Linked DNA regions of Lonchura striata. The protein of the gene in region 3 interacts with the protein of the main gene of each other region in a pairwise test. Links are inferred from orthologs where the notes say so. Each region holds a gene or a part of one and is shown on either strand. Other genes may lie near its edges. The genes, in order: SFR1, SPTBN1, CDC5L and SH3BP5.

Region 1 (7,598 bases), on a different chromosome or scaffold from region 3:
GACCTAAGGGGGTTTTGATACCCTGCAGATATTCTTATAAAATACCTTAAACTGAGACAATACACAACCACCACACAAAAAAAGCAGTAAGTAAAGCCTCACCTTGGATCGATACATCTTCACCAGTCTGAGTCTACGAAGCAGCTCTTCCTTCTCTTGCACTTGTTTCTCCAGCTTTACTTTCTCTTCAAGGGACTGTTGCTGACCAAGATCAACCTGCAGCACATCCGAATTCTCTGCTGATCCACAGGGATCACTCTCCTGTGAGGGACTTTTGAAACATGTATGTCCAGTGCCATTTCCTTCCAAGTTTTCAGAACTATCTTGTAAGCTGGAACAGTCTGTACTGGCCTCTGGCAAGCACCCTGTGTCAGCACCAGCAATGTCTTTAGTGTCTTTTTCTTCAATGTCTATTTTGAGCCGCTTTGCCACTGTAAAATTGGCATTAAATGAACGTCTTGTTTTCCTTAATCGTTCCCTCAGAGCTGCACTCATTTGCTGAAAAAATAATAAATAAACCCAGAAAAGCCAGGTGGTCAGAATATTCTTAAATTTTTATCAAATCTCAAATCACCGTTTACCAATCATTATTATTTACATAGAATATGTAATATATTTAACGATCATTGTAAAGCCAGACTTCCTAATTGTCTGTATAGCCTTCAAAAACTTGAACAAATTTAACATCTTCCTTTCACTTGTATTTGCACACACAGCTGCAAGATACGGAAAGGTGTAGCTCCACATTTTCTTGGACAAAATCTTGTATTCTGTTGAGGCAAACTTACTCATCTAGTGTTTGTGTAAAAGAAATACAGCATATTTCAACTTGGATAATTTTATTCTACCAATTTCCCCTCTAGTTTAATGGAGGTAAGGGTTACTTTCCTGCTGTTCCATCCCATTCATCTGCATTAGAACTAGTACAAAACATCTGTATTCTAGAACATATTAGAAATACCTGTATAATTTTGACCTGTTCATGCTTTGAGATACTTTACAAGCATCTAAAAACATTTTTTTTTCTTCAAAATAACTATTTTTTTTATAATCTGTGTCTAACATTTTTATTTATAGAAATGCACTAAAATACAAGAGGGGGGAATTAGTTACAGAATACTCTCAAACCAAGCCTGCAGTATCACCATTTCGCATCCCAGGATAAGACCAAAGCAGAGCTCAGCACTATGGATAATACACAAACTGAAAGCATTGTACTTTGTTCCACTGCAGGCAGAAGTCACAGAAAGTCATCCTGCATGCACAGCAACCCAGAAAACCAGGATTTGAGAAAACCGATGACAGATCCATCACACACCCTATATAGTATTTAAATTTCTTAACAGGCCATCACTTGCTCCATCACTTTGTACACACAGCAAGCATCTGCATTTTCAGAGCAAAGTACACCAGGCACATTATTACCTGCACAGCCTTGTAGCTAGAGGTATAAGGTGCCTGTCTCTAGCCTTCCAGCAAGCAGCATCTCAGTGACTTCTGACTCCTCGATGATTTCACCAGCATTTTGTTACTATGAACAATCACATTATTGGAAAAGTAGGAAGTTTTCATACCTGTTTCCCTGAACTAGTGCCCTGTGCAGGTGCTGGCCCAGAATCCTTTGGAGTATTGCACAAAGATGGCAATTTATCCAGCACTGACTCTTCCATCTCGAGATAAATAGCTGTCTCTGTTAAATGACAGAATGAATTATGGTGTCATTGTCACCTGTTATAATGAGCCATGTGGCTGCAGAAATTAGTAAAAAGCTCTAATATGAAATTTTAAGGCTTCTTTTCTAATTGGCATGTTCAAAAAGGACATCTGCTAAGTTACACAACTGTTTCATGTGCTAAGTAGCATCTTGCTTTGTGAACAGCTTTTCTTTGAGAGGATCCATGACACAACTAACTGCCATGAAGTCATTCACAATCCATTGTATATATTATTCTTCCCCTTGCTCCAAAAGCTCTGTGGAGCCAGAAGGATTTTTGTTGTCCACAAATATAAACAATCTTTTCTATAGAACAATATAATTGGGTATCCAGTCTCATGTGATCCTTCTGGGGATCCTGCTTTAAAAAGTAATTACTCACACAGGTGGAAGTTTTGATTAACAGGAAAAATCCCAAGCTCACTCAGAAAGGTGCCTTAATTAAAATGGTTAAGTCACACCTCCCAGCACGAACCAACTTCAAATCGATTTGGCAATGTTTAATTTCATTTAGCAATTGTGAACCACCTACTAATGACCAGAATGCAGCTGGAAAATCAACAGTTATACCTCCACTCACCTGCAAATTGCAATTACCAGTTTTGAAACAGAAGCCTCTCAAGAATAAAATCCTGCGAATTACAACTAGGCAACACAGGGCTGGCACAAGGGGCTTCCTCCTCACAGATGAAAACTGCTAAAGCTTCAGAATGCCAAAGCCTTAATAGCCCAGCAACCCTGGGCTTGATACCAAAGGATGGAGGGCCTCATTTATCTTAGAAGTCAACATTCCCCCCAGATGTTCAAAACTGAACATATGGTACTCTATTATAAAAACCCAGACCTTAGTAAGGAGTCTAGTTAATTTGGTATTTTAGCAATCTATCAATTAAACAGGAAACCACAGCATCCATTAAATATAATGGAAGTTTAATACTATTATTTCTTTTTGTAAGGAAGAGCCTAGAAAAAGCAACATTCTTATGTATACTGTATATCAAAGATATAGTATATATATATCAAAGATAGTATATATAGTATATATATATATATCAAAGATACTATATATAGTATATATATATGAAAGATAGTAAGAATTTTCCAAGGAGCAAAATAATTTTAAGCCTAAGAGATAACTTTAAAAACCCCAAGCAATCCTATGATTCTCTGCCTTTACTTTCTAATGCAAATTCGCTTTTAAATGACCATAACAAATACTTTCTCCAGTCGTTTGCTAATGCTGTTACTTGGCAGCATATTCACAGATCTCCTGCACGCTTAAAATCCTTTTCCTGTATCTTCGGCTAAGAATCCTTGGCATTCTCAACCAGTAATGCTGTTCACCGCACAAAAAACTGTGTCCAGCAAGCAAAGAAAATTTGAATTAGAAGGGGAAAAAACAATTTTACTTTTCAGTACTTACTTGACTTTTGCACTTTGGGTACGTCTGTAACTACGTCCTTTGTTTTCCTGCTTATAGCTACGTTATATAAAGGCACGTACTCTTTTTACTGTCTCAATAACAAAAGGCTCAATACTTTTAAACACTCTATTAACACAATACTATTAACACTCAAACTTTTGCCTTGCTACTTTTCCCCCCGCAGAGAAGCAGGACGAAGACCGTGCAGCCCATAAGCAGGGCCACAGACCCGTGGAGCTGGTTCTGAGGCGCGGCACCCCAAAATCGCCGCCACAGCAGCGGCCCTCGGGGCTGAGGAGCGCAGGGAGGCCCCTCGGGGAGCACAGAGCCCTCAGGACCGGGCGGAGGAGGAAGGACGGGGCGGAGGAGGAAGGACGGGGCGGAGCGGCGCTTCTGCCCGCTGTGCCCGCTCTGCCCCCTCAGCTCCCGCGCCGGGCAGGGGCGGCCGCGCCTGCGCGCCCCGCGTGCCCGGGCGGCGCTTGGGGCTGAGGGGCGGGCGCGGAGCCTGAGGGAGGTCCCGCTCCCGCTCCCGGGAAACGCGAGGCGTCTCCGAGGACCTCGTAGACTTTCCTGTTGCATCTAGGCATGCCAGGCGGTGCTGTGTCCCTTAGGCCAGCGTGGGCCGGCCACGCCATGGCTGGGGTCTGGATCAAGGCCTGGTGTCACCTCACAGAATCAGGCTGGAAAGTTCTTTAAGATCGTCGAATCCAGCCTATGACCCGGCGCCACTATGTCAGCTAGACCCTGGCATCAAGTGCTGTGTTCAGTCTTATGCATTTCCAGGGGTGGTGACTTCAGGATCTACGTGTGCAGTCTGATCCAATTCTAATCACAATTCCTATGCGGAAATTTTTCGTAGTGACCAACCTAAACCTTCCCTGGCCTAGCTGCCAGGGATAAGAAACGATAAGAAATGTCCCTGCAAGTGTCCTGTGCCAGGGAGGGCGGTCGGTCTGCCTCAGTGTGCAGTGCTCCCCACTACGGATAGCACAGCACAGCCAAGGGAGCCACAACTCTCCACCTCGAGCTGCAAAAGCCTTTATCCCAGAAACCATCTCCTCACATAAGGGGAAAAAGTGTAACTGAAGGACTCACTGGGAGACGTGTGACCTGAGCAGCACTGTCATGGTTGTGGGAAAGAAGAGAAAATTAAGACATTTGACTGGAGAAATAGGGAGATTGTGACTGTACAAGGAGCAATCCCAGCTGTGGCTGCACGGTGCAGTTCAGGATTGGAGAGTTCCCTTACACTCAAAGGCACTGCTGAAGAGTGGTTTTCCTGTTGCTGTCAGCTGTACACCTGGCTTCCCCATGTGGATTTACTTCTCTCAAAACTGATTTGTACAAAACGTTTTTCAGCTGTAACTGTCAGAACTGACAGAATGAGCTGAGGAAGCCATAACAACAACAGCTCCCAGCCCTTAGGGATGATGTCCCAGTGGTTCCTCCAGCACTGCCCAGAGCTGAACTGCCCCGAGCTGTGCATTGATGCCTCACGCAGCTGTGCTGAGAGCAGCACGTGGGGTACAGGCACCCACATGCTCTCGCTGGATCATGCCCTTAGCTTCTGTGTCAGAACTGCATTAATTTCCTGCCTGGTTCCTGCTACAGATAAGGACACTATTTTCTCTTCACCTTGTGTAACTCCCATCTCTATTGAGACCAGAGACAATTTGGAGGTAAGAGATGCGTAAGCACTGAGTGTTGTAGGTGTGATAACGTGTTAGCAGTTGCTGCAGTTTTGACCATGAATTTTCATAGATCCACACACTTCAAAGAGTATTTGACAGGAATGATAGCAACCTTTTACTCTCCTACAGTAAAAGGTATCAAAGCATTCAAAGCCCATCTACAAGTTGTTTTTGGAAATCTGACAACTTGTATAAGTTATACAACTTATATAACTTATACACCTTGTATAAGATTTTATCTGTGGGTGAAATTGATTCAGAAATAATATTTTCATAGCAAATGTGGGAATTTACATTATGTGGTGTTGTACTATGTTTTGTAACCATCTACCAAAAAAACCCTGCTGAACAATACCCCAAGTGTTGAGGCAGTTTGAAAGCATTTTTTAAATCTGCCCCTTTTTTGGGTTTTGAGGTTTGTTTTTTTTTTAAATCTTCAGCTAATTTAATGTTGCAGATATTTTAATTTTTAAATATGTTAAAAATGGACTCCTGAGTGCAACAGCAAAAGTGCTACAAATTTATCAAGAGGGTTGGATGCTCTGGAGCTTTGTGATGGCATGTCTCCAAGACCACAGGGTATTTCCTTCAATCTCAAGGATGGTCCCTACTTTAAATTACTCATGCTCTGTTGTACAGACATGCTAACAGATGAGTTGCACAAGAACAACAGAAAGCTTGAGATTTTAGATCATTTGCCAGGTGAGATTCCAGTAAGATTTTACATGAACATAACACATGAAAAAGTCATCCTGTGCATTATCATTGTACTTAATTAGAGCAACGCCAGTATGCCCCACCCCAAGTGAGATTACAGATTGTTTGGGACTGGGAATTTGGAACAATGGTGCCATGTGTTGGGTGTGTGAGTTTAGTGTGCTGCATCTAGAGTAGAGGAAAGGAAATATTGTCATGTACTCATTGATGGGCAATGACTCTAGAAAAAGATCTTGTTCAGGTTAGTGTTGTTTAGCTGTGTTTACTCCATTTTCCTATGAATTTACCTGGTGTTTACACAGTACTGCAAAAACATGACTCGCCCAGCACTTGGCTGGAGCTCCTGCAGAGCTGGGAACTAGAGTGCCATCAAGCACTATGCAGTGACTATCCAATATGTTTATTGCAGAAACACAATAGTGATGGATATTATGTTTTCTACAACTGGCAAACCAGAGTCAGACTGAAAACTTCCTCTCAAAAACTGCTCATCTGTTTTCCTTGAGGAAAACAGATTATCCATGTGTCATTGATCCTGGCATGTTTATGGCACACTGCAGAGTGTTTCTCTTGCTGTTAAGTTAAGATTACCAGTATGTGCACACAGTAGCACATTCATTGCAATAGTGTTTATTAAGCACTGCAATGCTGTTGTTTGATTTCTTTGCTTCCTCTTGTGATCAGAAGAGTTTGGGGTAAGCAAAATAATTGAAAAAAATGTGTAAGAAACTGTGCACTGGGTAATAAAATTATTGATCTCTATTTGCTGAACATACCACTTCCCTTCAAAGATATTAGTTTCCCCGAGGAACCAAAATGTGTTCCTTGATTCTATTTTCTTTGGCATTTCTGCATTGACATTTTAGTTATCAGATTATTTTTTCTTCTAAGTGTACACCAGTTTGGCTACACAGTGAAAGATATTATCCATGTACCCTCTCAATAATCTTGTGGTACCAGAACAGCACTGGAGCACTGGGGCTGACACAGCAGTGTTCTCAGGACAATTACATGTTTTAATTCCTCTGTGGGCATCATCTGTAGTAGCAAAGTCATAATGGAAAGTAATAAAAAAGGATACTGGCTCTGAGTTTAGAAACTCCAGTTTAAGCTTTATGGGTTCTTGTCTTCCAGAGTGTCAGGAGCATCATAAAACTTCCATTTAACAGTTTGCTGGGCACAACAACCAGGCCTTTTCCCCCTAAACATTGCCACTGAGTATCTGGGATGTTAGTCAGCATACTGTTTTAAGGCATATATGTATTACCCCCTTCTCTCATTTTTCTGAAATCTGTTGACCTCGTTTAAAGCCAAGCGATGTATCCTGATGCATGAAGTACACTCTGCAATGTCTGAGTATTCTCTCTTGCCTGGGGCACGAGGGTGGGGTGCTTTTATGTGCCTAAACACTAACTGCTGCAGAAAGTTTAAAAACCCTACCCACTTCTGCATCAGCCTAGGGCTGTGATTTGGCTGTCTGCAATTCACTTCTCTGAAAGGTGTTCTGACTTGCTAATGGCCGTGTAAATACACCAAGGGTAGGACTTTATAAACCAGCTGGAGTAAAACCAGTTTACTACAACAAAACCTGTCCTTGGGAGATGGATTCTGCTCTGATAATGGTGCAAGTGCCCAGTAACTAAAAGTGAAGTCTCTAGAATGACATCAGGATAAACTACACCAAAAGTAATTTTTTTTTTTTTTGCCTTTGTCTGCTTTATATCTCTGGCTTGCAATTTTTGAGGTAGCTGTCTTGAAAATAAAACCTTCCGGGATTTATTGTAGCTGAGGGGCACTGCAATTTGCCATTACAAAAGATAATGTAAGAGCCAGGTGAGATGAGCAGTGTAGTTCTCACTGCTGCATGTGTGAATAACCAAGGGGGTGAGGCACGGTGCTAATAAAAGGGGTTGGCATACAATTGCCTCTTATTTCTGTGTCTGTGGGATTTTCTCTAACATAACAAGTCAAAGATTACAGTATAAAGTCTTTATGAGACTGTAGCAGATAAAGGAAACATAAACAGACCTTCAATGTTCTTGTCTATGCTGGA
Region 2 (7,558 bases), about 82 Mb from region 3:
GGCTCTGCAGGACATGGATCCCAATGGACCACACTCCCCTTAGTGTGGAGCTGCAGCTCCAACACTTGCTCCTCCACACAAGTGGTATCTGGTCAGAACAACATGAGATGGTTTCTCAGGTTTAAAGCAAGACAAGGCAACTGGATTTTCACATTTCACACCTCTAGGCCAGATTCCTGCTGGTTTCACTTGGGAAAACTGCCATGAGCCTCAGCAGAGGTAAGGGTCCAACGTGCTGGCAAACTCCCCAGCTCCATCAGCTGTGAACAGGAGCAGCCCACAGCAGGAGCTGGTCCACTAGGAAAGCCCATGGCTCCTACCATGGAGCACAGGCCTGCTCTCATCAGGAGTTTCCAGGCACCGCAAGAAAGAGCCTACACTGCTCTCCTGCACAACCTCAGCTGAGCCAGAGAGATCTGAGGGCAGCTAGTGGCTCCTTGCCCTGAGAGGTCACCTCTCTGGTCCCTGGGGCTCCAATACTTCCAGAGGTATTCCTAGACCCTAGGGAAAGGGCTATCAGGAAGCCTGTAGCCACAGACACCAGCCTGGGCAGGATTTAGTAGCTGACTCATGGTTAATGGGCAATGATAAACTGTTGTGCTGTTTGTTCACTTGTACCCAGATAAGATGACTAAGGAATTTAGGTGACTATAGAGATTAACAGTCTAAATAACTTTTGCAGTCTGACCCTTAAACATCTGCATAAACAGACTTTCTCCTCTGCGTTCCATGAAAGATGTCCATGCACTCCTTGCTAATGAAATACAATTATTTTGCAGGCAATCCAACTACAAATATTTCATCCTGTAACTGACCCACATGAAAAATAAATCCTTAATCAGGTGACGTAATGCAAACGAGCAATCCAGGCCCATCCAATAAAGGGGGTATTTAGCTGATTCCATTTTATAGATGATGAAGGAAAAAGAAAACATCTTTCATTAAATTGTTTGTATTCCTCCTCTCCAGGGGCTGTTGGAGCAGCACACAGCAGTACCCTGGTCTCCATATATGCAGCAAGAGGGTTTTGCCCCTCTCTGCCCCACTCCTGTGTGCAGGCAGGGCTCAGTAACACACAGCAATTCCAAAAGCTGCAGGATCTGTGCCACCACAGAGATGAAACAGCATCTCTAACGCTTTTTGCCACATGCCTGCTGCAAGTTCCTATTTATCCCAAAATGCTGCATCCTGCTTTAGTGAGTGTCATTTGCTGCACTTAACCTGCATTACAGAAAAACCCAAAGTGGGTTCTGTTCCAGAAGAACCTCCCGATTCCACATTCATCATTCTCCCTTATGTTCCTGCTTGAAGTAACAAAATATTCCCTATTTTCTTGCCTCTTCAGCACTAGTTGTGGCACATGAGCCAGCCCCTCATCCTTCCTCACATCCCTACAACCACTGCTATGTCATGGAGGCATCAGTACAGCCATTTCTGTTCTCCCCAGAAACACAGAGGGGAAAAAATAAAGAAATGCCAAAGGATAAGAACAATTCTTTAAATAGCACATCTGCTGCCATCACCCACCTTCCCAGCCCCTTATCCCGTTCCATTTGCACTCCCGTCTCTCCCTCCAGAGCCTTCTCAGCATATGCAAGTCCTTCCTCCAGCGGAGCTTTCCTGCAATGGCCTGAGGAGTCACAGCCTCCCCTGACATTTCCACACGGCTGCTATCTCTGGGAATAAATTCCTCTCCCTGCCCTGCCTCTCTAACCCCGGCTCCGGGGAGCATTGTTCCCCAAGATGCCTGTCAGCACGGTGCTGGGCTGCGGGAATTCCAGCCCTTTTCCCAAACTGTTCAATAATCAGGTTTCATAATGCTGGTATCCTGTCAATAAAGGTTGAAGGATGAGCCAAACGCTCCGGATCTTGACAGTTTGTGTTTATTCCCTCTCCTTGCAATCCTGATCTTGAACATTTAGCATTTATATCTATGGACAATGCAGAGCACAACGCAGAAACACAGATCACTACTCACCTTTAAACAAAAATGCTATTTCATTCACGATCAAGACATCAACATCGCAAATTCAATGCTCACTCTAGTTCTGTATCATCACTCCAAAAGGAAAAACATCAGCCACTGAATGAAACGTCAGCCTCGGTTGCCATGAACAAGGGTTTTTCAGAGCTGCTGCAGTCTCACAGTCTATAGCACAAGTCTGCCATATTTTTTTTGTTATATCAGGCCTATACCCACCTAACAGCCAGAGCCAGCCCCGAGACAACCAAACCAAGCCCACACATTGTGCCGCTAACTGCGGGCACCGCGGCACCCGCGGCAGCGGGCGATGGCCGCGCCCGGACCGCAGCCCCGCACCCGGAGCTCGGCGGGGTCAGCGCGGCGCTCCCGCACACAAAGCCCCGCAGCGGGCCCGGCTGACAGCGCGCCGCGACCCCCGCGCCGCCCCCCGCGCCCCGCCCCGACGAAGAAAAATAAAGGAGGAATTACATCCGTCTAGCAAGGAATACCGCAGGAGCAGCAGTCGAGCCGGGCTCTCCGCACCGCACCGCGCGGGGCGTGCGGCTGCGCGGCGGAGGAGGCACCGCGGGCGGGGAAGGGGAGGGAGGGAAAGGGGCGGCGGCCGCCGCTGCCCCCAGGGACGGGCCGGGGCCGCCGCAGGGTAGGGTAGGGTAGGGTAGGGTAGGGAAGGGTAGGGTAGGGCGGGGCGGCTCTGACTGCGCCGAGCCCGCTCCGCGCCGATCGGGGCTGCGGAGGCTGCGGGCGCCGCCCGCGCTGCGCACACGCACCCGGGAAGAGGGGCCGCCCCCCAGCCCCGCTCCCGGCCCTACCTCGGCGCTGCCCCGGCGGCGGCTCCGCGCTGTGCGGAGGGACCGGCGGTACCGCAGCCCCGCGCGGCGCTGCGTGAGCTCTGCGTGCCCCGCGCGGTGCGGAGCGGGGGGCGGGGACGGCGCGGGAGGAGCCCCCGCCCCGCGCTCCTGCCCTGCGGCGGCCCTGCGGCGCCTGGGGCTCGGCACGGCCCCAGCCCGCACCGCATCCTCACCTGCTAATGCTGCTGCTGGGCCTGCCCTGTGCTCACGCCGGGTCTTCCCCCTCCGCCGGCCCTCGCTCGCAGCCCTCCGTGGGTTTTATCCAGCCACTCCCGGCTCCCCTTCCCTTCTCTTACATTTATTTCGTTATTGGGTCTCTCCAGCCTCCTTGCTCCTCCTCCTCTGACACTCTCTCCTGTCACAAAGACAGTATTGGCTCGCCCCCAGCATCCATTTGCTCTAGTGTTGCTCTCCCTCCCGCTGCTCTGTCATTCCTAGTGGAAACCCCATCCCGGGTTTGACTTCCTCCACTGCAGTCATCCTCTCCTGCTGCTCCAGTCCTGCCACCTTCCCACGTAAACAGCCTCTCTTTGCCAGTGCAACCCAACCCCTGGGACCTAGGTCCAGCTGCCTTTGTGCCACACTTTCCCTCTTTTCCTGGGTAGTATTTTGCCTGTCTTTCCAAAGAAAACTGCTGTCCCACAGCCAATGCACCTTTCCTCCTTCCCCCTCTTCCACAGCCAAGGTCAGAGGCAGACACTGCTTCTTCAGGTGTCCTTTGCTAATCCTGGCCTCCCTGCTTGCCTCCCTGTCCTCACCCTCCTCATGCCCATGCTCCTTCCCTCCTGTCCACTCTCCCTCACCTCTCACTTTCAATGCAGCTATGGATCAATGCTATCCATGTCTTTTATTTAAAAAAAAAAAAAATAAACCATGCTTGGATTCATTTGGATTCTTGCTTATCATTCCTTTTTCTCCTACTCTTCATCCCCACACTCACTGCTATTTTACTGCTGTCTAGAGTTCCTCTCCTCTGCATATCTTAAACTCCCTCTCATCTAGGTTCTTGCCCCTTCACATTCAGCTGCTTTGCCAAAATTTCCAATATCCACTTCCTGGCATAATCTCTGGAATACTGCTTCATTTCCAGCCTGTCAAAATTATCAGCCTGGCTCTTTTGAATATTTTGTTTTCCTTTGGTTTCCAAGGCTGCCCTGCCAGAGCTACCTCCTTACAGCTCCTGCAGTGCATCCTCCTCCCAGTTTCCAGTGAGATGCCAATAAACTTGGGCCTCTGGTATTCAGAAAGTCTCTTTAAAATATTCTGTCACCATGAAGCTGACAAGATTCTTGATAAGATCTAAGAACATACTTTCATACTTGTCACTTGTGCTGGTTCATATCCAGACCTTGGGGATGCAGTAAAAATGTGTGTATATAGATACAAATTTTTAAAAATATATTCAAATGCTAGGATGTTAAGAAATATCCTAAAAAATCACCCTTCCCTCAATTATTAATACCCATCAAGCAAATTGGAAGGGACAAAAGCCTGCAATGTCTGGGAGTGAGCAAGAGCATGCAGTGTATTTTAGGATTCGCTAGCCCCCATAGCTCAAAGATGGGTGGGCCATGGATTCCCATGGAAATAACTGGGTAGGAATGAATGCCTGGAGAAGCAAGAACCAGAATAGCAGGGGGCACTGTGGGTTCCAACCAGTTATCCCAGTTACTGACAGACATTTTCTCCTTTTTAAAGTAATGAACAGGGCAGATACAAGTGTTTTGCTGCTGATAGTTCACAGCAGCATTCCCAGGTTTGACATGAGAGGATGCTAATTTAATTTTAAAAACTACTGCACCTATTTGTTTGTGTTTTCAGCATGAACCTTCTACTTGCAGAGTTAGAAAGCCAAAGCCTACAGCCTGGCAAAAATTCAGCAGGGAATGTTCACAAAGGTAAACTAGTAGCACGTCCTAATGTCAGTAACTAAAGGCAGTCAGACAAACAGGTTGTTCCCACTGACGTTCACATTCCCTCTCCTTTAATCAAAGTGAAAGGACTGGAATGAATGGCCACGACAGAAACTGTTGTTAAATGAAGTGGAAAGGGGCAGCAACAATGTTGGGCAAAGTCACTCCCCTTCAGCCCTGCTACTTTGTAGTTAGTTTGGCTCTGAAGCTCAAGGCTTTTTCCCTCACATATTTTGCCCAGGCAAACACATTTCTTCACAGATGAAGCAATATTTAAGTTGTTTTTCTTTTTTCCTTTAAAAATCTACCAATGCACCACACTCAATATTGTTTGATGCTCATCCCACAGAAATAGGTCCATGTGCATATTGACACCTTCACCAAGGGGAAAACACTGCACAGGTAATCATATTTCAACCTCTCTGAAAGATAATTTAAAAATAAATCCTAGTTTAAATAACATAATGCATAATTCAAAATAAAATGAATCAAAATTGGAAACATAGAATTGTTTAGGTTGGAAAAATCTTCTAAGATCCTTGAGTCCTACCATTAACACAGCACTGCCAAGGCCACCACTAAACCATGTTGCCAGGGTCTACATTTGAATTTGTAAAAGGGTACTTCCAAGCAGATACAAAAGCAGCACATCTAGATGAGATATTAAGAGCCACAATTGTTAAGGCAATACTAAAACTCAAAAAAAAAAAAAAATACTGAAGGATGGTGTCAATTTCCAAGAACACAATAAAAATGCATACCAAGAAATTCACATTGTAATAAAAAACTCCCTCACTGTTCCATTAGACTGGAAAAGCCTCCTGTTATCAGACCGTTCCAGTCCCACAGGTTCCCAGCGTGACTGAGATCCATTCCCCCCACCATACACACCTTTCCTCCACCTGTAACTGCTGGCTGCAGACACACAGTGGGGCTCCAAGGCACAAATCCAGACTGGAGCTTTGTCTCGTGGCAGACTTGGCCAAGCTCTTGAGAGGAAAATCAAAGATGGGCAAGATTATGCTCAGAGGAAAAACTCAGCTCTCTGTGTGTAGCATGTCTGGAAGCAGGATGGCTGCTCTTCACAAACATTTCCTCACAGAACCCTATTTCCCCTCAGCACCTTGGTTGCACTCAGCTCAGGGTTACACCCTTAACTTCAGAAACACGTTGCAGCAATGCATTCCCCAGAATGGATTTGCTGGGATATTCCTGTTCCCCAACAGCCACTGGAAATATAAATGTGTCTGACCCTCAATCCTTAGCTTGCCTTTTCTCTATGACCAGCTCAGAAGGCTGACCTGCCCAAAATTCTGCATCAGGGAATAAACACTCATCCAGGTATCCCCATGCAGTAGCCACAGGGAAATGTGTGTGATACAGGAAGGGGCTCTACTGGGAGAAACAAAGAGCAGGGACATGCAGAGCATTTGTAACTCAACTCTCAGGCTGCACATCAGAGGTCTGGTAATACTCTTTTGTTGAGAATGTCTTATTTTTCTAAGTGCTCCCCAACTCTCTGTGGCTACCCTGTCCCCAGAGCGTCCATTCTCAGCCGTTTTCTCTCCACCATCAGCTCCCGTGAGCTCCAGGCCTATTTCTTCATGTGCCCAACATCCCCAACCCTGGAAAATGACTCAACCACAGGGCACTTACAAAAGTTTGGCCTTGGCCTCAGCCAGCTGCTGTCTCCTTCCCCCGCCACCGGAGTCAGCAGTGGAAATGCTGACAGTGTGAAGACAAGATGGCTTTCCTGCTCTCCCTGCCAGCATCACAGCAATCTCCAGTGGCCAAGAGGAGTCCTGGCAGGAATCCCTGTGGAAGGACAGGAAGCATTAGTGAGAGTTGGCAGGGGCCTTGGGGCCAGCATACCACAACATCCCCTACAGACCTTCCCATTGTGTTCAAGGCAGTACATTAAAAAATGTAATAAATGTCTTGGGACCTGCTCTTGTGTCCTGTGGGCTCCACACAGAAGAAATCAAATCACAGAGGATGTCTACAACTGCACAGGAAGTTTCTTGGCCTTTCAAAGCCCCTTTTGTGGTGCAGTAGTTTGAGGCTCAATGCCATAAAGGTGTTGGTGCAGCAATGTTTCCCCACCCAAAGAGAACTGGAGAGGAAATTTGACCAAAATCCTCAGCATTTATCTGTCCCATAAAAACCTGCATAAAACTATGCAAAAAACTTTGCCCCTTGTTGCCAAATATTATTCTCTTTCCTTCTGTTTTACCAGTTTTACTCCTCCATTTCCTCCAGATCCATCAGAAATTCACCTAATTAGAAATTTAATGGTTTTAATATGAAAGATAATAGTTTTATATTAGATATTAGGGAGAAATTCTGTGAAGGTGGTGAGGCCCTGGCAGAGGTTGCCCAGAGAAACTGTGGCCGCTTCATCCCTGGAAATGTCCAAGGCCAGGTTGGACAGGGCTTGAAGCAACCTGGGATAGTGGAAGATGTCCCTGCCATGGCAGAGGATGGAAGTGGATGGGTTTTAAGGTCATTTCCAACCAAAACCATTCTATGATTCTATGAAAAATACACATCAGCCCATGTAATTTGACAAAACACAGTTGTCGGGTGCAGCCGATCCATTAACTACTACAGGAAAAAACAGTTAAATTCTTAGCCCTCTCCCAGATTTTATTAATTTTCCTGACAACCTTACTTTTTCTACAGAAACTGAAGATTTCAGGTCAGGTTAAGCACATACTCCAAGAACCCACCAGCATGAATACATTTTTAAATGCTTTCTGTGGTGATTACCTTGCTCTGGTAATGCTGGGCTTTAACTGCTGAGTCTGTGCTTC
Region 3 (7,564 bases):
GAAAAATAAGGATTTGTATTTCAAAGGTCAATGAAATCTGTAAAATTAAATAAAATAGACACATAAATTATTGTTCCAAACTTCATATACCTAACAGAATTTCCCAAATTATTATTTTCAATGCTCTCTAATGCACTGGTGTTTAAAGGCTCTGTATGTCTTCACTGAAGGACAGCAACAGAGGTAAGGAAGTGTTTGGTAAGACATCACAATACGAAAAAAAAAGTAGAATTGGCAGGCATCTCTGGCTGCCTTGTTTAAACAATACCATAAAATTATCTATTTTTCATATTTTAATGCAATTGGAATAAAAATGGAATAGATCGGCTTGGGAGCCAGGTTGTTCATATACAACAAAATGTGCACTGAGTTTGATCACAAGCCAGAAGTGCCAATTCTCGGTCCATCCATCCATCAATCCTTCTCTCCCTTCCTTGATAGATGGGTTCATTATTTCTGGTTTATTCAGAGGAAGTGGTATTTTAAATACATGAAAGCTGTTCTTACAGCCCTGTCAACCACAGATGTCCCTCTCCTGTACCCAGTGAATGTTCAGTGAGTCTCACACTATCTCCACTGACACCACCCAGAGAACAACAGCTTTAACTGTGCGCTTATGATCAGCTCTTGATCTGGCTTGAGCTGCTGCAGGCAACAATTCATGTGACTACTGTTCTGACATAAATAATAAATCCTCTCCTGTGTGTTTTTTTTTTAAACTTACTTGGTGCTCTATGGCACACAGGAGCTGTACTGGTGACATTAACAGGCTTTTTTTGCATGTAATGGGTCATTTTATGAATGATTTGGTATCACCTGATTTCCCTTTCTCTGTCTTTAATGCTGTATGTATAATCAAAATGTTAAAAAAAAAATCCAACACCTCTTTTATCTCTGGTACACAAAGCCTGGTGAACTGAGGATCTATTTGGCCACTGAAACAGCTCCTCAGGGCAGTAGCCACAGCCTTAAGCCTGGCAGAGTTCAAGCAGCATTTGGACAATGCTCTCAGGCACAGGGTGGGATTGCTGGGGATGTTGTGTGCAGGAGCCAGACTTGATGGTCCTCGTGGGTCCCTTCCCACCCAGGATATTCTGTGATTCCATTTAATGCACCACTCCTCACCAAAATGTATCAAGTATGGAAGAATGGGGTGAAGATATGAATTTTCCTGTCCTCTGCTGATCCCAAATTTAGCTGCTTCCTGGCACATCACTGATATAGCACAGGTGTTTAAAAGCACATACAGCACATTTTATCTTCTATTACTTTTTCCTCACTGCTTCCTGGAACCACGTACATGCCTGGTGCTCACACTATGCAGTGAGAATTCTGTATTTTACAGTGCTAGGTACATCCTTTTGCTTTAAACATGCATCTAATAAAACTGACATCCTTGATTTCCCATGTTATTGATTTCTTTTTCATGACCACTTGTGGTTCTGAAAGCTTGTGACAGCAAAATTGGAGGGGATTGTTCTTTTTTGGAACAGTAATTTCTGTGCACAGGATTCCTGGGGCTGCAGATGAAGAGCCCACACACATTGACAAGAAACAGACTGAAGCTGCACCAGGGGTTTAGATTAGTTATTAGGATGTTTTTTTTCTTCCCATGGAAATGGTGACAGGCTGCTCAGGGCAATACTGGAGTCACCATTCCTGGAACTGATTAAAAACCCATGTAGATGTAGCATTTAAGGACAGGTTAAATGGTGTACATGGTGGTGGTGCTGGGTTGATGGTGGCCACTTGGTGTTCTTAAGCTTTTTCCAATCCTAAAACTTGTATGACTCTGCCTTTGCCATTTTCGTATTTTTAAATATCTTTAAGGGCAAGAGATTCCTGCTGCTTCATTCCCACAGAGCACAAGGAACGTGCCTATGCAGCACAAGTCACACTCTAGCCTGCGAGCGGGACATCTCCAAGCACTGCACAGCCCCTGCTTCCTCTCCAGTAGCAGTGGGAACAGTTCTCTGGGGCATAAGGACACAACACACACATTGCTGAGCTTCCCAATCTGGTGAACAGCCCGAGGGAAAAACAGCACCAATGTGAACTCGTGACCTTTGCCCACTGAAGCAGCAGGAACAAGGCACAGGTTACTGGGGAATGCAGCCCAACAGAGAGCCAGGGATCACAGAATCGGTTAGGTTGGAAAAGGCCTCTCAGATCACTGAGCTTAATCAACATCTTATCACCACCATGTCAACGAGACCACAGCACTCAGTGCCACATCCAGTCTTTCCTTAAACTGGAAGAACTTAACCTTCAGAGACAGTGACTCCATCAGCTCCCTGGGCAGCTCATTCCAATACTCAATCACCCTTTCCTGTGAAGAATTCTTCCTAACGTCCAACCTAAACCTCTCCTGGTGCACTTTGAGGCCATGTCCTCTTGTCCTGTTGCCTGGGAGCAGAGCCTGACCCCCATCCCGCTGCGCCCTCCTGTCGGGGAGTGGTGGAGAGGCAGAAGATCCATCTCTGAGCCTCCTTTTCTGCAGGCTGAGTCCGTCCAGCTCCCTCAGCTGTTCCTCGTGAGCCCTGTGCTCCGTTCCCTTCCCTGCGCTGGCCCCTGCCGAGCCCAGACCCGCTGATGTCCGGGCACAGCGCTGCACAGCCCCGACCCCACCGCGGCACCCCCAACACTGAGCCCCCGCGCAGGCGCACCACGACACCCGCCCCTCCCGCGCCTGCGCACCAGCGAGGGTCCCCCCCCCACCTGCCCGGCCCTGAGGGGGACGAGGGCTCGAACCCCGCCGAGTCTCACCTCGGTGTTCCGCCACACGCCGCCTTTAATCATAATCCGCGGCATCTTGGCGGCGAATGGAGGCGGGGACGGACCCCTGGAGCGAGAGAATGGAGAGGGAGCGGAAGCGCCACTGGCGTCAGCGGGGCCGGCCGAGACGGCGCACGGTCGCCCTCAGCGGCGGCGGGTGCCGAGGGCGAGGGAAGCGAGGCCAGCTGTCAAAAAAGCTGCTCTGTCAGAAAAGCGGGGAGCGGGTCGGGCGGCTTTCCCAGGGAAGCGGGACTGGCGGATTTTGCAATGGAAGTGAGGCCGCTACTCCTCCAGGGAAGCGGGTCCGGCCGCGCCGCGCATGCGCAGCCCCCGCGTGGCCCGAGGCGGCCCTTCGCGCTAGCGCCCCCTGCCGGCCGGAGGAGCACACGGCGGAGGAGCCCGGCCGTCATTAAACTCTTCAAATTGCCTCGTCAAGGGACGCAGGTGAGGGAGGAAAGGGACAGTGGAAGGAAATCACATTTCCCCAGCGTTCCCAAGGTATTTTATTAATTTCAGGAAATAGACCCATGCTTTTTCCTGAAATTAATAACTTCTTGGTTGTGAGGGTGGTGAGGCCTTGGCAAAGGCTGCCCAGAGAAGCTGTGGCTGCCCCATCCCTGGTGGTGTTCAAGGCCAGGTTGGACAGGGCTTGGAGCAGCCTGGGATCGTGGAAGTTGTCCATGCCCATGGCAAGGGGTAGAATGAGATAATCTTTAAGGTGGCGATGCAAAACTATTCTATGATTCTACAAGAGAGCAACATTGATGGTGCATTTGCATGTTAACACTCACATACACACTAAAGGAAATGTATACAAGGTACATACCTGAATTTGGGGAATTTTCATAGTGAGGTACTCATGTCACTCTCAGCAGGTGAAGGGTTGAGTCTCAAGGAGTAGGGATCTCGGCTCAGGATCTGTCACTGTCCCTCAGCTGTGGCCCTCCAGGCATCTCCAGCCTGGAGCTGTGTGGCTCAGAGAAAGCCACACTCAGAGGGAGGTGCTGCTCCCAGCCTGCTGCAGTCTGGAGGGCTCAGAGGCTCTCAAATACCACTGCTTAGAGAGTCACAACAGACTTGACTTTGCTCATAGCAATTTTCCACCCTGGCTGCAACTCAGATTGGTAACTTTCTCTGAAAGTTCAAAACCAAAAACGTTGTTCCACCTGGGTGGTTATTTGGATAAGAAAAATAAGTTCCCAAAGGCTCTTAAAACCCACGGAGCACTTCAGCTGACACAAGTTCCTGGGAGCAGACAGTGTTTTGGATAAGCTCAAGAGGAGCTCGGCTCAGCTTGTCAAGGTCAAGCCCTAACGAGCATTTCTGAGACCACAGTGTGGCCCAAACAGGAGGATGCACCACCACACCATACAGATCTGACTCACTATTGTTCATTTACATCACCTCCAGTTTAACTTGTATTCATTTAATTAGCAGATGCACAGCAGGTAAAATGACAGCCTTTTACTCAATTTGTCTTGTTATATTTCCCTGTTTTGTCCAAATTCAGGATATATTAATGGAGCAAATTATGAAACTTTTTTGGTTTAAATAGAAAACTTGTGATTTAGGAAAGGCTTTGATTTTTGTTTAAACTGCAGGAATAAAAAATACTACACTTCTAGCTACCAAAAAAAAAAAAAAAAAAAACCCAAACCAAAAAAAACTACCAACAACAGCCCATGTCTTCTTTGCAACTGAATATGCCTCAACCTGTAAATTTCATTGACTTAGCAGACTGAGAATACCTTTGAAACCCCAAAAATCCAATGCAGCACATAAGGAACAGAAAGCAACATCAGGAGTCATTGAAGTGCTTATTTTTATTAGAGGCAGTGACTGGGAATAATTAACTTTTATAAGATCAATCTCTTAACTAAAAATACCTTCTTGTTATTACTTAAAACGAAGTAACTCAGATTTACAAACTCTTTCAAAAATTTACTGCAGTTATCCACCTAAACCAGGCTCTTTTGATCATCATTGTACACTATGCTTTTCAACAGTGTTCAATCGTATTTAGCCCTTCTAGTCTCATCTGATATAGAGGCTTACAATTCCTTCAGTATTTTTGTTTTCTCTTTGTACTGCTCTTTTCAAATAAATGATCAGAATTGTAATGTAACACATGTAAAAACATCTCCAAGTTTGAGTAATCATTAAGATTTCCTAGAAATGCTTTTCTTTCTTAATACAGGATAACATTCTTTCTCACAACTGGATTAGGTGGCTCCAAGGTCTAAATCACTTATCTGTAACCACCATGGTTCAAGCACAGATACTTGTCTGACTTTACTGAAGCTGCAAAGAACTGGATCACTTGAACATCTTTGCTGATATGGCCTTAAATAAATCTGTCCATGAGTTTCATTATTGGAAAATTGCCTTCCAAATTGCAGAATGGCTGGACGGGTTCTGGAAGACAAGACCCTAGAAGATGCCCTATTCAGGAAATTAATCTACAGGAGAAGCCTAACACACAGGCAAGATTCACAGATATTATGCTACAAGGGTTATTCATGTATTTGGAAAGAATGCTGTAGCTGTTCTCATTTACAATATTTAGTATGCTTGACAGATATTTGCAATTCAGAATATATAAGTGAAATAGAGAAAAAATTTAACATGCTAGAAATCCATTTGGATTCGGGTAAAATGTGCCACTTGAAATTATTAGTAGCTTGCTAGCATAAGTAAAATATGCTGTTTAGTCTGGTAGCTCTGCAGCACTAGTAAAAACTGCCCCAGCTGAGGAGAAAGAATGCGAATTTCCAACTGAAGAGATAAGAGAGGCTCCTCGAACTTTGAAACAGACAAGGCAGACTCACCCAAGAGTTCTTTCTGTACTTTCTGATTAAAAAAAAAGCTGCAAGGGTAACTAGCTGCAAGAGTAATGCAAAATCAGTAGAATGAATATACATAAACCTATGGTGAAACTATGCATATGTATACTAGTAAAGAAGAATAAAAAGGGATTGAGAATTCTCAAGGGCACACGTGTCTTTTGAAGGGGAATGATCCCCATAATGCAATAACACCACCAGATTTTCAACCTTTACAAGTTGTGAAGCTTGAGTTTTTATGCCAATTCCTAAGTTTATCAATGTATGTATAGACATGCATGGAAATATACACACATTCTACTACAGAATTCTGTAATCCCGGACACCCAGAGCTGGCTGTCCAGGATTACATCCAGATGGCTTTTCAGTATCTGACAAGAAGGGAACTCCACTGCATCTCTGGACAGCCCTTCCCAACCTGTCTCCTATGATACCAGAAAGCCTCTACAAGATATTATCTGTATTTCTACAGAAAGACACACATCCAGAAGCAGAAAAAAAAAAAAAAGGCACTGAATCCCATACTTACATTCTCTCTAAATTAAACCACAGGTTTGTTCTGCTGCTCCATGGACTGAGCTGTAGCATTGGGACAGTTTGCACCAGGCCTTTGCTGTTTTATTTCCTCACACAAGGGGATAACACACTGTTAATAAAAGCACTTAACCACACTCAAGAGTTCCTAGCACTGGGTAACTCCAAAACAAACAAAGATTTGTCTAGATTTGAATATAAATTGGAAGCAGCATCCATCTGGGTTCACCATACACTGGACCACCTGCTGTGTAGTGTACTAGCTCTTATACACGGTATTTTAGACTAAGAGTAAAGTTCTTAAAATAATTTTAGTTTCAGATACTGCTAAGGTTTTTAATGAAACTAAACAGCAACTGCTAACTGAAGTTATTTGAAAAGCATATAATTTAACAATAACAACCAACACAGTAACTACCAACCTGAGAAAAGGTAAGGCATTTCATACTAGATTAACATTGGACATTCAAATAAAATTGAAGATTTAAAGATTCCCAGTATCATAAAATAGATGTTTCTGGACATTACCATTTCTGCCAGATTACTCAAAAAATTATCAAAATTACAGACAACAGCTTAATAAGCATCTTATACATACAGATACATGTAAAACATTTTAATGTCACAATTACCCAGTGAGGACATGCATATTTTGTTTCTGTAATTTGGAGAGATACTATTTTTTTCCTCTTACAAGTATTGCAAAATCACCTGGGAGTAAAGGAGGCAACTTTCAGCAGATGGGAGGTAGCATTTAGCCTCCAGATACACCAATAGTTTTCACATGAAAAGTTATTACTACAAAATATGTTTTTCCTTCCCTCCCGTTACACATTCTTTCAGTTAGTAAAGAGTTTTTCTTACTAAATTTTTACAAGAAAATAAGTGGTGCAGAATAACTCCTTAAACAAAAATGAACACTGGCCAAAATAACTGACCTCTACTGAAGCAGTTACTCAGGGATGAAAAAGTGTCTCCAAGATCTCCAGCACAGCCTGTGCTAGAATTGATGTTCCCACAAACACCTGCAGCAAACCAGTACCCCAAGTTTCACTCTCTTGACCAAAATGCTGGATGCATCCATTACCAACCACTGTTCTGGGCACAGCAAAGGAACATAAAACCATGAAGAAATTCAGGCCATGCAAACCTGGCCAAAACCAAGCATCAACTTCCAATTCTCAACCTGACATCCCAACCTTGTGCTGCTGCTTATGCTTCTCCAGCAGTTTTTTGGTGGGCAGCACCACATTACACTCTGCACACCTGTACTTCTTTTTGTGTGTTTTTATGTGCCTTTGGAAAGCGTGTTTATCCACCGTGGAATACCTGCATCTCCTGCAGTGCAGCCTGAGGTGGGTCAGGAAGTGGCGCCTGAGGTGGCTGGAGGTGCGGAAAGCCAGGGAGCACTG
Region 4 (7,984 bases), on a different chromosome or scaffold from region 3:
AGTGGAGATAAGAAACAAGCTACAAGACATAGCATGTACAAAGACCATAACCCCATTTTCTGTTCAGTGCTTTCAATGGATACTCCAGTATTTTAAAATTCTACCAAGAACCACACCATGCTTGAGCAAAAAAAAAAAAAACAACCAAAAAACCAAAGAATCAAACAAACCATATTTTGACATTTTGAAGGTACAGACAGAAATCTATAGGTGCACTTTTATAGTATGTTCCTCACTGCAATCTCAGAATGTTTCAATACAGTATTCAAAACTTTGCAATATCAAAATTATTTAGGATGTCAAGTCATATTTTATGCCAGTCTTTTTAAGCACATATTCATCTTGTACTTGCACTGGCTTTATCTTCTTTTTTTTTCAAATAAAATAAAATTTAGATGTACACATAGGATAGTTCGTTTTGCTTCAGTATTAGATCAATAATGTTGAGCCTTCCAACATAATTACCAAGATGAAGCTCAAATTTAGGGATTTAGAAACAATTTCTTCAGAACTTGCTATTAGATTTATAAGTATTCCCGAAAACCTCTCTGTATAACCAGGAAGTCTTTTATTCCAACTTTCCTTCACCACCTTCCTTGCTCAGGAAGTGATGACAAAAAAGGCAAAGATAACAATCTAAAAAAACCCCAAAGAGAAGATCCTATCAGATAGTTGTATGGCAAAAACCTCTTAACCAAATAACTTTCCCTGTCTATAATCAACAAACACAAAACAGCGACTTGTAAAAATAAAACTTCTCTAAGCTTAGTGTCAAAACCTAAAAATAAGTTCTGGCAGTGGCTGTGTGAGAGGTTCTCCACACAGGGTTTTTACACTGTCAGCATACCTCTACCTTTTCAGCTGTTAGGTCAATTAATATCTTTAAAAACATCATCACCAGACTCTTGCTGTGAAATTACCATTCAGGATGCACAAATTCAGAAGGCAACCTACACAAAAACACTGTCCTTCTGTTCACAAAATCCAGCATGCACAAAAGGTAAATGTAAGGATAAATTCTGTACCTCCAGCTCCGTCTCTCTGCGATTGATATCATCTGTAGATTGATTCAGTTTTTCTAGCTCCCCCTAGAAGGAAAGAAAGTCAGATGCATAGTAAGAAATCAAGTGAAAAAACACGTCTGAGAAGGCTCATTCAGCATCCCCACAGAAAGCTCACAAGAGCTTTGGGTAATGAATTTAGCGAAAAGAGGAAACCTTGAGATGTTCAGCTTAACTTTGCCAGTGGTCTTCTCCTTTGCTACTTAAAAGAAAAAATAATCAGAGAAGGTCTATAGCTTTATGTTAAGGCGACACATTTCCTATTCTGGCTACTTCTTTTCTATTACAAATAAATACAAAGTACAGTATTCTGTCTCATTAATCAATATAGCCAGTATCAGTGAGGTACTGGGGAGACAGACACACCCACGCTGAAAGATTAGCATAAAGTTTGTACTATCACAGGAGACACCCAGTGAAAGGACAGAACTGATAAGAAACACATCTTGGCGCATGAGAGGCATTTTATTTTGGATTTTGGCAAACCATTTATTAACCCAACCAGTCCAGGGGATGTACAATTATGTTCACATAATTTGCCTTCCTGCCAACATTTTGATCCCATAACAGCAGAAACAAAGGTGTTAAATACCTTGAATAAATATGTAGCAGAAGTGCTGCTGGCATGAATGAAGTTAGTGTAAAAATAAAGCTCATTCTTACTGTCTTTCTTATCTCAAAAAGCAACCCTTAGGAGGAGACCTGATAGCTTTCTTTATCTGAGCAACATGTTCCTTCATGTGAGATTATAAGATTTTTAACAGGAATGTTCTCCAATTGAAACATTATTTAATTGTCAACTGGTGTAACAGAACACGCCATTAAATGTTTTGCTGTACAAACCGAACGCTGTAAATTGATTGTCACTTGAGCAGTTTCCCACTAGACTACAAGAATTACTCCAGTTACAACCAGAAAGGAATTAATTACAACAGTTTAGCTCTCTTAGCCTCAGCGGTCAGATTTCGTTTCCTTACTCCTAGGACTTGGAAAACACCTATTTGGGTGTCCATGTTGTCTGAAACAAACACCCATCCAAAAATTGCCTAATTGTCTCTTACTGTAAGGCTCTAAACCTCATGGCTCTGCGGAAGCAGGCACAGCAGCCTGTTTTTCAAACCAAACAGAAAACTGAACAAAAACAATTGTTTTGCCAACAATTCACAAATCGTATATGTGGAAACGTGTTGCAAGCTGAAGAAACTAAGGCCGAAATTAGATCAATAGATACCAACCAAGCTCAGCCTCATAAAATCAGGGCAGTACCAGGCTAGCTTTTGGCTGAGGGCCTCGCTCTGTGTAACCATGTTTTGAGAATTTTGCAATGGCTCTGCACAGCCCTGGAAAACAAAATGCTCACGATGGAGAAAAGAATGACAATTACAGCGCGCGGGGACCTGCGCCAAGGATCCTCTCAGCAATGTACACACGTGTTATATTCATTCATGACAAACAGGACCAGCAATGCTGGAGGCAAAAACCATAAATCTGCAGAGTCCTAAAAATACATTTCATTTCAGGAACCACAGCGTGCTTCAAGTTTGCACCACACTATTGGTCGAGACACGATTTTGGGGAGAAAAGCTTTGTTTAGAAACCATGCAAGAATAAAAAGCATTGCAGAAGGCATTCACCTAGAAGAAGCACCATATTCCACTAAAGCTCCTTCTTACGAGACATAAAAAAAATAATGACAAAAATAATGAAATAAAATTTTAAAACCTATATTTTCCCGCATTTACGAATTTCTAAGCACCAGCCGCGCTCCACGAGCAAGGTCACGCTGTCATGGTCAAAACTAAAAAGGGGAGGGGGGGTGGATTTCAGCAGGAGGAGGAGAAGGAGGGACGCCCAACAGAGCCCGGAGCGATGCCCGGGGTAACAAAGGGCTGGGGCGCTCCGGGGGCGCTTCCCCCGCTCCCGGCGGGCACAGAGACACCCGGGGCTACTCCGGGAGAAAAAAAAAAAATTTATATATATATATATATATATATATATATATATATATATATACACACACACACACACATCTATATATATATATATATATATATATATATATATATATACACACACACACATATATATATATATATGCATGTTTGTATGTATATATGTGTGTGTATATATATATATATGTATATATATATATATATACACACACATGTATATATGTATGTATGCATGCGTGCACATACGCAGCAAAACCAATGAAATAAAAGACACAACCATTGTTACACACAGCCATAACACACACATTGAAACGAACTTTAAGAAACGCAGCCGCCCCTCGGCGGCAGGCCCTCACCTGGATGCGGGGGTCCACCTCCTCGTCGTCGGGCCGCGCCGGCTCCTCGGCGGGGCGGCCCCGGCGGCCGCCCGGCTCCATGGCGGCCCCGCTGCCGCCGGCGCCGCCGCTGCCGGGCCCGGCTCCGCCGCCCGGCCCCGCCTCCGGGGAACCCCTCCCTCCCCACAGCGCCCCCGTCTCTTTGTGCCTTCGCAGCGCAGCGAGGGAAACGGCGAAATTGCGGGGTTTCGTTTTTTTCCCCCCCGCTTCTTTTTCTTTCTTTTTTTTTTTCTTTAACCCTCCCTCACGCCCCGTTTTTCTGGCGTGCTAATTCCTGGTCCCCCCCGCAGCGGCGCTGCGTGAAACCAGGATGAGTAGTTCCAGGTGCAGGGAAACGCTAAGGACACCTTGCTGGCTTTTTTTAATTTATTTTTTCCTCCCCTTCTTTCCTTCTTTCCTCTTTTTCAAGCTCTGCTGGAGGCTGACATGCCCATGGAGAGGAAAAAAAAATGTATAAAGCGAGAAAGGGAGAAAAAAAAAATTACTAAAGGCACTTCCAACAACCTTGAAAATTCAAATGCAACCCAGATTTCTACAGTGTGGCAGCTAAGCGGGCAACTATTGTACCTGCTGCATGCAGAAGAAAAAGACATACTGAAAACACATCCCTTTGTTGTCAGTAAAAAGGAACTTCGAACAAGAACTATGTACATGCATGGCCCATGTCTAGCAGAGTTCTTCAGATTAGTGCCTGCCTAATCACAGGGGTGGATAACAAGTAATTTTGAACAGATGAGGAATATATTTCCACCTTTAAAGTAACATTATTAATTTAGCCTCATGTTTTTGTTTGAAAAATCCTCCAAAGGTAATAAAAAATGGAAAATTTAGATGTGGTGAAGAAAGAAGCTTCCTTTGTGAGACTAAAGGTGAAAAAGAATCTCATATCTCTTTACAAGATAAAAATAAGGAGCTAAAATAAGAAGATAAAAATTAACATTGCTAAGGTAACTAAGGTTAAAAGGGAGGCAAAACTAAAGCAGTCAAGCTCTTCCAAATGCTATAAAGCAACCGAGGGGATAAAAAACAAAATATGGGAAGAGAGTGACATAAACATTTGAAAATGGTATAAACATGCAAAGTGACACCAACAAACTAAAATAATCAAGGAACAGAGGAGGTGTTGCAAAAACGCAGATGGGTTGTTTGCAACATCTTCACTGCTCACAGCAGAAAAAATCATGTAAAGGGAGGGAAAAAAATAAAAACAAACCAAAAACCAAATTAGCCAAAGCCAAGTGTTTACTCTTACTGCTGTCTTTTAGGGGATTCTGATGTGTACATACAGCCAGATGTTCCCAGGGCCCTGGCATTTCTCTTCCCTGGTGTGCTCATGCCAAGACTGTAGACTATAGACTGGTCAAATAGTCAACACTCCCATCATCAGCACAGAAAACACAAAGCTGCACATGGAAGACTTAATGTGGATAGTCCTGCTGTTGCCCCTTTGTTTTCTAAAAAACAAGACTATGTAAAAAATTCACTGCAGCTATGCCCTGTTCCTCCAAATCCTGCACAGGCTTACCCATGGTGATGTCACAAAAGGCACTGCCCACCGCTTGGGATACAGAAGTGCTCCTGCACACACATGCTCTCCCAAAGATATTTGTTATGTTTGCACAAAGGACCCTCTTCTTCCATTACCACTGTAACAATCCCTGTGATTGTTGCAGCTCGAAAACCTCCAGCCAAACTCATCAATCTGCTACCATCAAGGCAGAGCAAGCTGTCTCTCTCCTTAGCTGCACAGTGGATTTAGAAAGCTGGGAGAGCTGCCTGCAGAGCTTAGCACTGTGCAAGAGATGGTGTGTATACACAAGCCCCTTTTCCCATGAATCTGAAATCTCTCACAGAGCCCTGAGGACATTGAGATCATTTTATATCAAGCCAGTATGCTGGGAAGATCTGGATATAATAAAATCAGTGAAAAATGCACATCTGTCATTACTGCAGACATCATTAAGGCATTAACAGAAAAGTGGCCTGAGGAAAAGATTTGACGGAACAGGGAAATGGGAGACTATTCAGTACAAAAAAGATCAATAAAAGACTCAAGGCTATTATTTACATGTTCATTTTCTTCTCTTAGCCACAGAATGGTTTTTGCTGAAACTGCTGTCCCATGCAAAGGGCAGCAGGACTTGAGAAATACCCGAGGAACAAACTTACATATCACATAGGCAGGCCTCACACACGGGCATGCTCTACACAGGATTGTTGGTGACACCAAGCTGTGTGGTGTGATTGACAGGTTGGAGGGAGGGGACCTCATCTAGAGGGACCTTGACAGATGTGAGAGGTGGGTCTGGGCCAACCTCTGAAAGTTAACAAGGCCAAGTGCAAGCTGCTGCACCTGGGTTGGGGCATCCTAAGCAAAAACACAGGCTCGTTGGAGAAAGTACTGAGAGCAGCCCTGAAGAGAAGGACATGAGAGTGTTGGTTGACAAGAAGCTCAACGTGACTGAGGAATGTGTGCTGCAACCCTAGAAAGCCAACCACATCCTGGGCTGCATCAAGAGAAGCACAAGCAGCAGGTGAGGGAGGTGATTCTCCTGCTCTGATCCACTCTGGTGAGAGCCCACCTGGAATGGCATATCAGATGAAGTTCTTTACTGTGGGGCAAGTGAGGCACTGGCACTGGTTGACCAGAGAAGTTATGGATGCCCCATCCCTGGCAGTGTTCAAGGCCAAGCTGGATGGGGCTTTGAGCAAACCTGGTCTAATGGAAGCCATTGTTGCCCATGACAGAGGGATCGAGCTAATCTAGATCTTTCAGGTCCCTTCCAGCCCAAACCATTCTGTGGTTCTATGCCCCGCTTAGGTCAGTCCTGTGCAAGAAGTGAACTGCAGTAGATGGCATTTGGGTATTATTTTTGCCAAATCATGAGTGATCTCATCCCAGCAAATCCCTCCTACACAATCTGTTAAAGGCCAGACTGCTCCCCAGCCCCACCCCAGCCAAGAAAGCCAGTCATGCTGACCTTTTCCTTCCCCCACAGGCCCTGCGTGCGCCAAGGCATCTGAGCAAAGCTTGCACGAGGCCTGACCAAGACAGTCTGTACTTTCTCCTGTATCAATATTTCAAAACCCTAGTCCCAAGTATTCAATATTTGAACAAAGCACTCTGAAGTCAAGGCAGGAAGAAACCGCTTGCTCTTTCACTAATGGGATTCCAGAGTGGCCACAGCAGAGAATTAGTCCAGACTTGTCAGGCTGGGCTGCAACTTAACATGAGCTATGCTGCAAAGGATAAAGCTCATCTAAAAAGCACAAGGAGAGGTTCTGATGCAGGAAAAGCCATGATCCAAGCTGCTTCAGCAACTAATTTAAATGTACCAGGCAACACCTCTGCCTTGTGGCATTACGGTAGGTTTTTAGGGTGGAAACTTTACCGTTAACATCATGCCCTGGACAGAAATCCCTAGGCAAGGGTGATGTTCTGGCTGAGAGAACTGCTACAACTCTGCTTTTGGGGGAAGCTGCTACATAATCACGTTATCTGGTCCCACAGAAATCCTCAGTGTACAGGCAAGGGAAAGATTTGGCAAGAGAAAGATTGAAATGCTTTGAGGAAGGAATACAGGGAAGAATTCTCTTCCTCATTCTGGAAGATGGCTTGTAGATTCGGTATTACATTACTGAATAGCCATTGGGGAACTAGAACTTGCATTTTAAGTAAAATCAGCTGGGAAGAAGAATGCATCAGTGAAGAATCGCCTGAGGAAACATCCTAATGACTACAGTTAATTTAAGGATAAAATTCAAAGGGAATGGAGAGTGTAATTTTACATATATTTGATAATGCTAGGTTCTGAATGGATTTTAAGGAAGATTTTTTTTTCAAAATCTCATCTTACATTCAAATTTCTGCTCATACTTGCCCTCAAGGCTTGCTTCTGCCCCAGCACTAGAGGCAAGAGCCTAAAATACAAATCAAAAGTTGTATTTCCTTCCTCATAAACATGTAACTTGTCTTTCTGAACATAGATAGCAAATAAGCAGAGTTCAGGACTAATTAATGCATATTTGATTACTGAAAACACATTTCAGCTCATGGAAATGTTCAAGGAGAAAACAGCCTAAGAGACAGAACCCTGCTTACAGAATACTGCCCCTCTCCTCACGGGGACTGGAGAAACAGTTCTGCTCTGAAAAGTTCTTCTGCTTCTATTGATGATGGTGCTAGAGGCTAACTTTCAAATGGTTTCAAATGTTGAAGTGCTGTTGCAATTCACTTTTAAATAATTTACCAACAAATGAACACAGAAGTATAAACAGTCCAATTCTGAGAAGTAACACAGTCCCCAAAATACATTTATGAGCATAAAATCTGTTGCGTAGCTTCTTAGCTGAATTAACCCTGAAGACCAGTTTACTACACTGACTTTTGCAATGTTACACCAGAAATTAGCTTAACTCAGGGAATGTCTCAGTTAAACACAGAGCCACCACCTCTATCTTCCAAACTGCAGCAAAGACATTGCTCTGCCAGTGTTCAAATCTGGTATACTTTCCTGGTTTTCAGAAGTCTACTGCACATGTTGGAAACATTTATAAACATTAAGTGGGATCTCAC

The links.
Region 1: the proteins of CDC5L (region 3) and SFR1 interact in a two-hybrid assay, tested with the Homo sapiens proteins (2 studies listed by BioGRID and IntAct). The link is inferred for Lonchura striata from reciprocal best matches to the Homo sapiens genes CDC5L and SFR1.
Region 2: the proteins of CDC5L (region 3) and SPTBN1 interact in binary tests that used the Homo sapiens proteins (3 or more experiments, as listed by UniProt). The link is inferred for Lonchura striata from reciprocal best matches to the Homo sapiens genes CDC5L and SPTBN1.
Region 4: the proteins of CDC5L (region 3) and SH3BP5 interact in a two-hybrid assay, tested with the Homo sapiens proteins (2 studies listed by BioGRID and IntAct). The link is inferred for Lonchura striata from reciprocal best matches to the Homo sapiens genes CDC5L and SH3BP5.

Annotation. Positions count from the first base shown.
Region 1 is NC_134609.1:21,115,934-21,123,531, reverse strand, and holds the start of SFR1 (swi5-dependent recombination DNA repair protein 1 homolog), read right to left. Parts: upstream 3,496-7,598; 5' UTR 3,138-3,495; intron 1,691-3,137; 5' UTR 1,671-1,690; coding exon 1,575-1,670; intron 499-1,574; coding exon 103-498; intron 1-102. UniProt on the Homo sapiens protein: Component of the SWI5-SFR1 complex, a complex required for double-strand break repair via homologous recombination. Acts as a transcriptional modulator for ESR1.
Region 2 is NC_134605.1:27,475,757-27,483,314, forward strand, and holds the start of SPTBN1 (spectrin beta chain, non-erythrocytic 1), read right to left. Parts: upstream 3,305-7,558; 5' UTR 3,129-3,304; intron 3,123-3,128; exon of another isoform or gene 3,006-3,122; intron 2,920-3,005; exon of another isoform or gene 2,794-2,919; intron 2,581-2,793; exon of another isoform or gene 2,453-2,580; intron 2,255-2,452; exon of another isoform or gene 1,979-2,254; intron 1-1,978. UniProt on the Homo sapiens protein: Fodrin, which seems to be involved in secretion, interacts with calmodulin in a calcium-dependent manner and is thus candidate for the calcium-dependent movement of the cytoskeleton at the membrane.
Region 3 is NC_134605.1:109,086,131-109,093,694, forward strand, and holds the start of CDC5L (cell division cycle 5-like protein), read right to left. Parts: upstream 3,105-7,564; 5' UTR 2,812-3,104; coding exon 2,767-2,811; intron 1-2,766. Other genes in the region: uncharacterized protein LOC110468941, read right to left, coding at 7,334-7,564.
Region 4 is NC_134603.1:114,406,635-114,414,618, forward strand, and holds the start of SH3BP5 (SH3 domain-binding protein 5), read right to left. Parts: upstream 3,467-7,984; 5' UTR 3,451-3,466; coding exon 3,370-3,450; intron 1,089-3,369; coding exon 1,026-1,088; intron 1-1,025. UniProt on the Homo sapiens protein: Functions as a guanine nucleotide exchange factor (GEF) with specificity for RAB11A and RAB25. Inhibits the auto- and transphosphorylation activity of BTK. Plays a negative regulatory role in BTK-related cytoplasmic signaling in B-cells.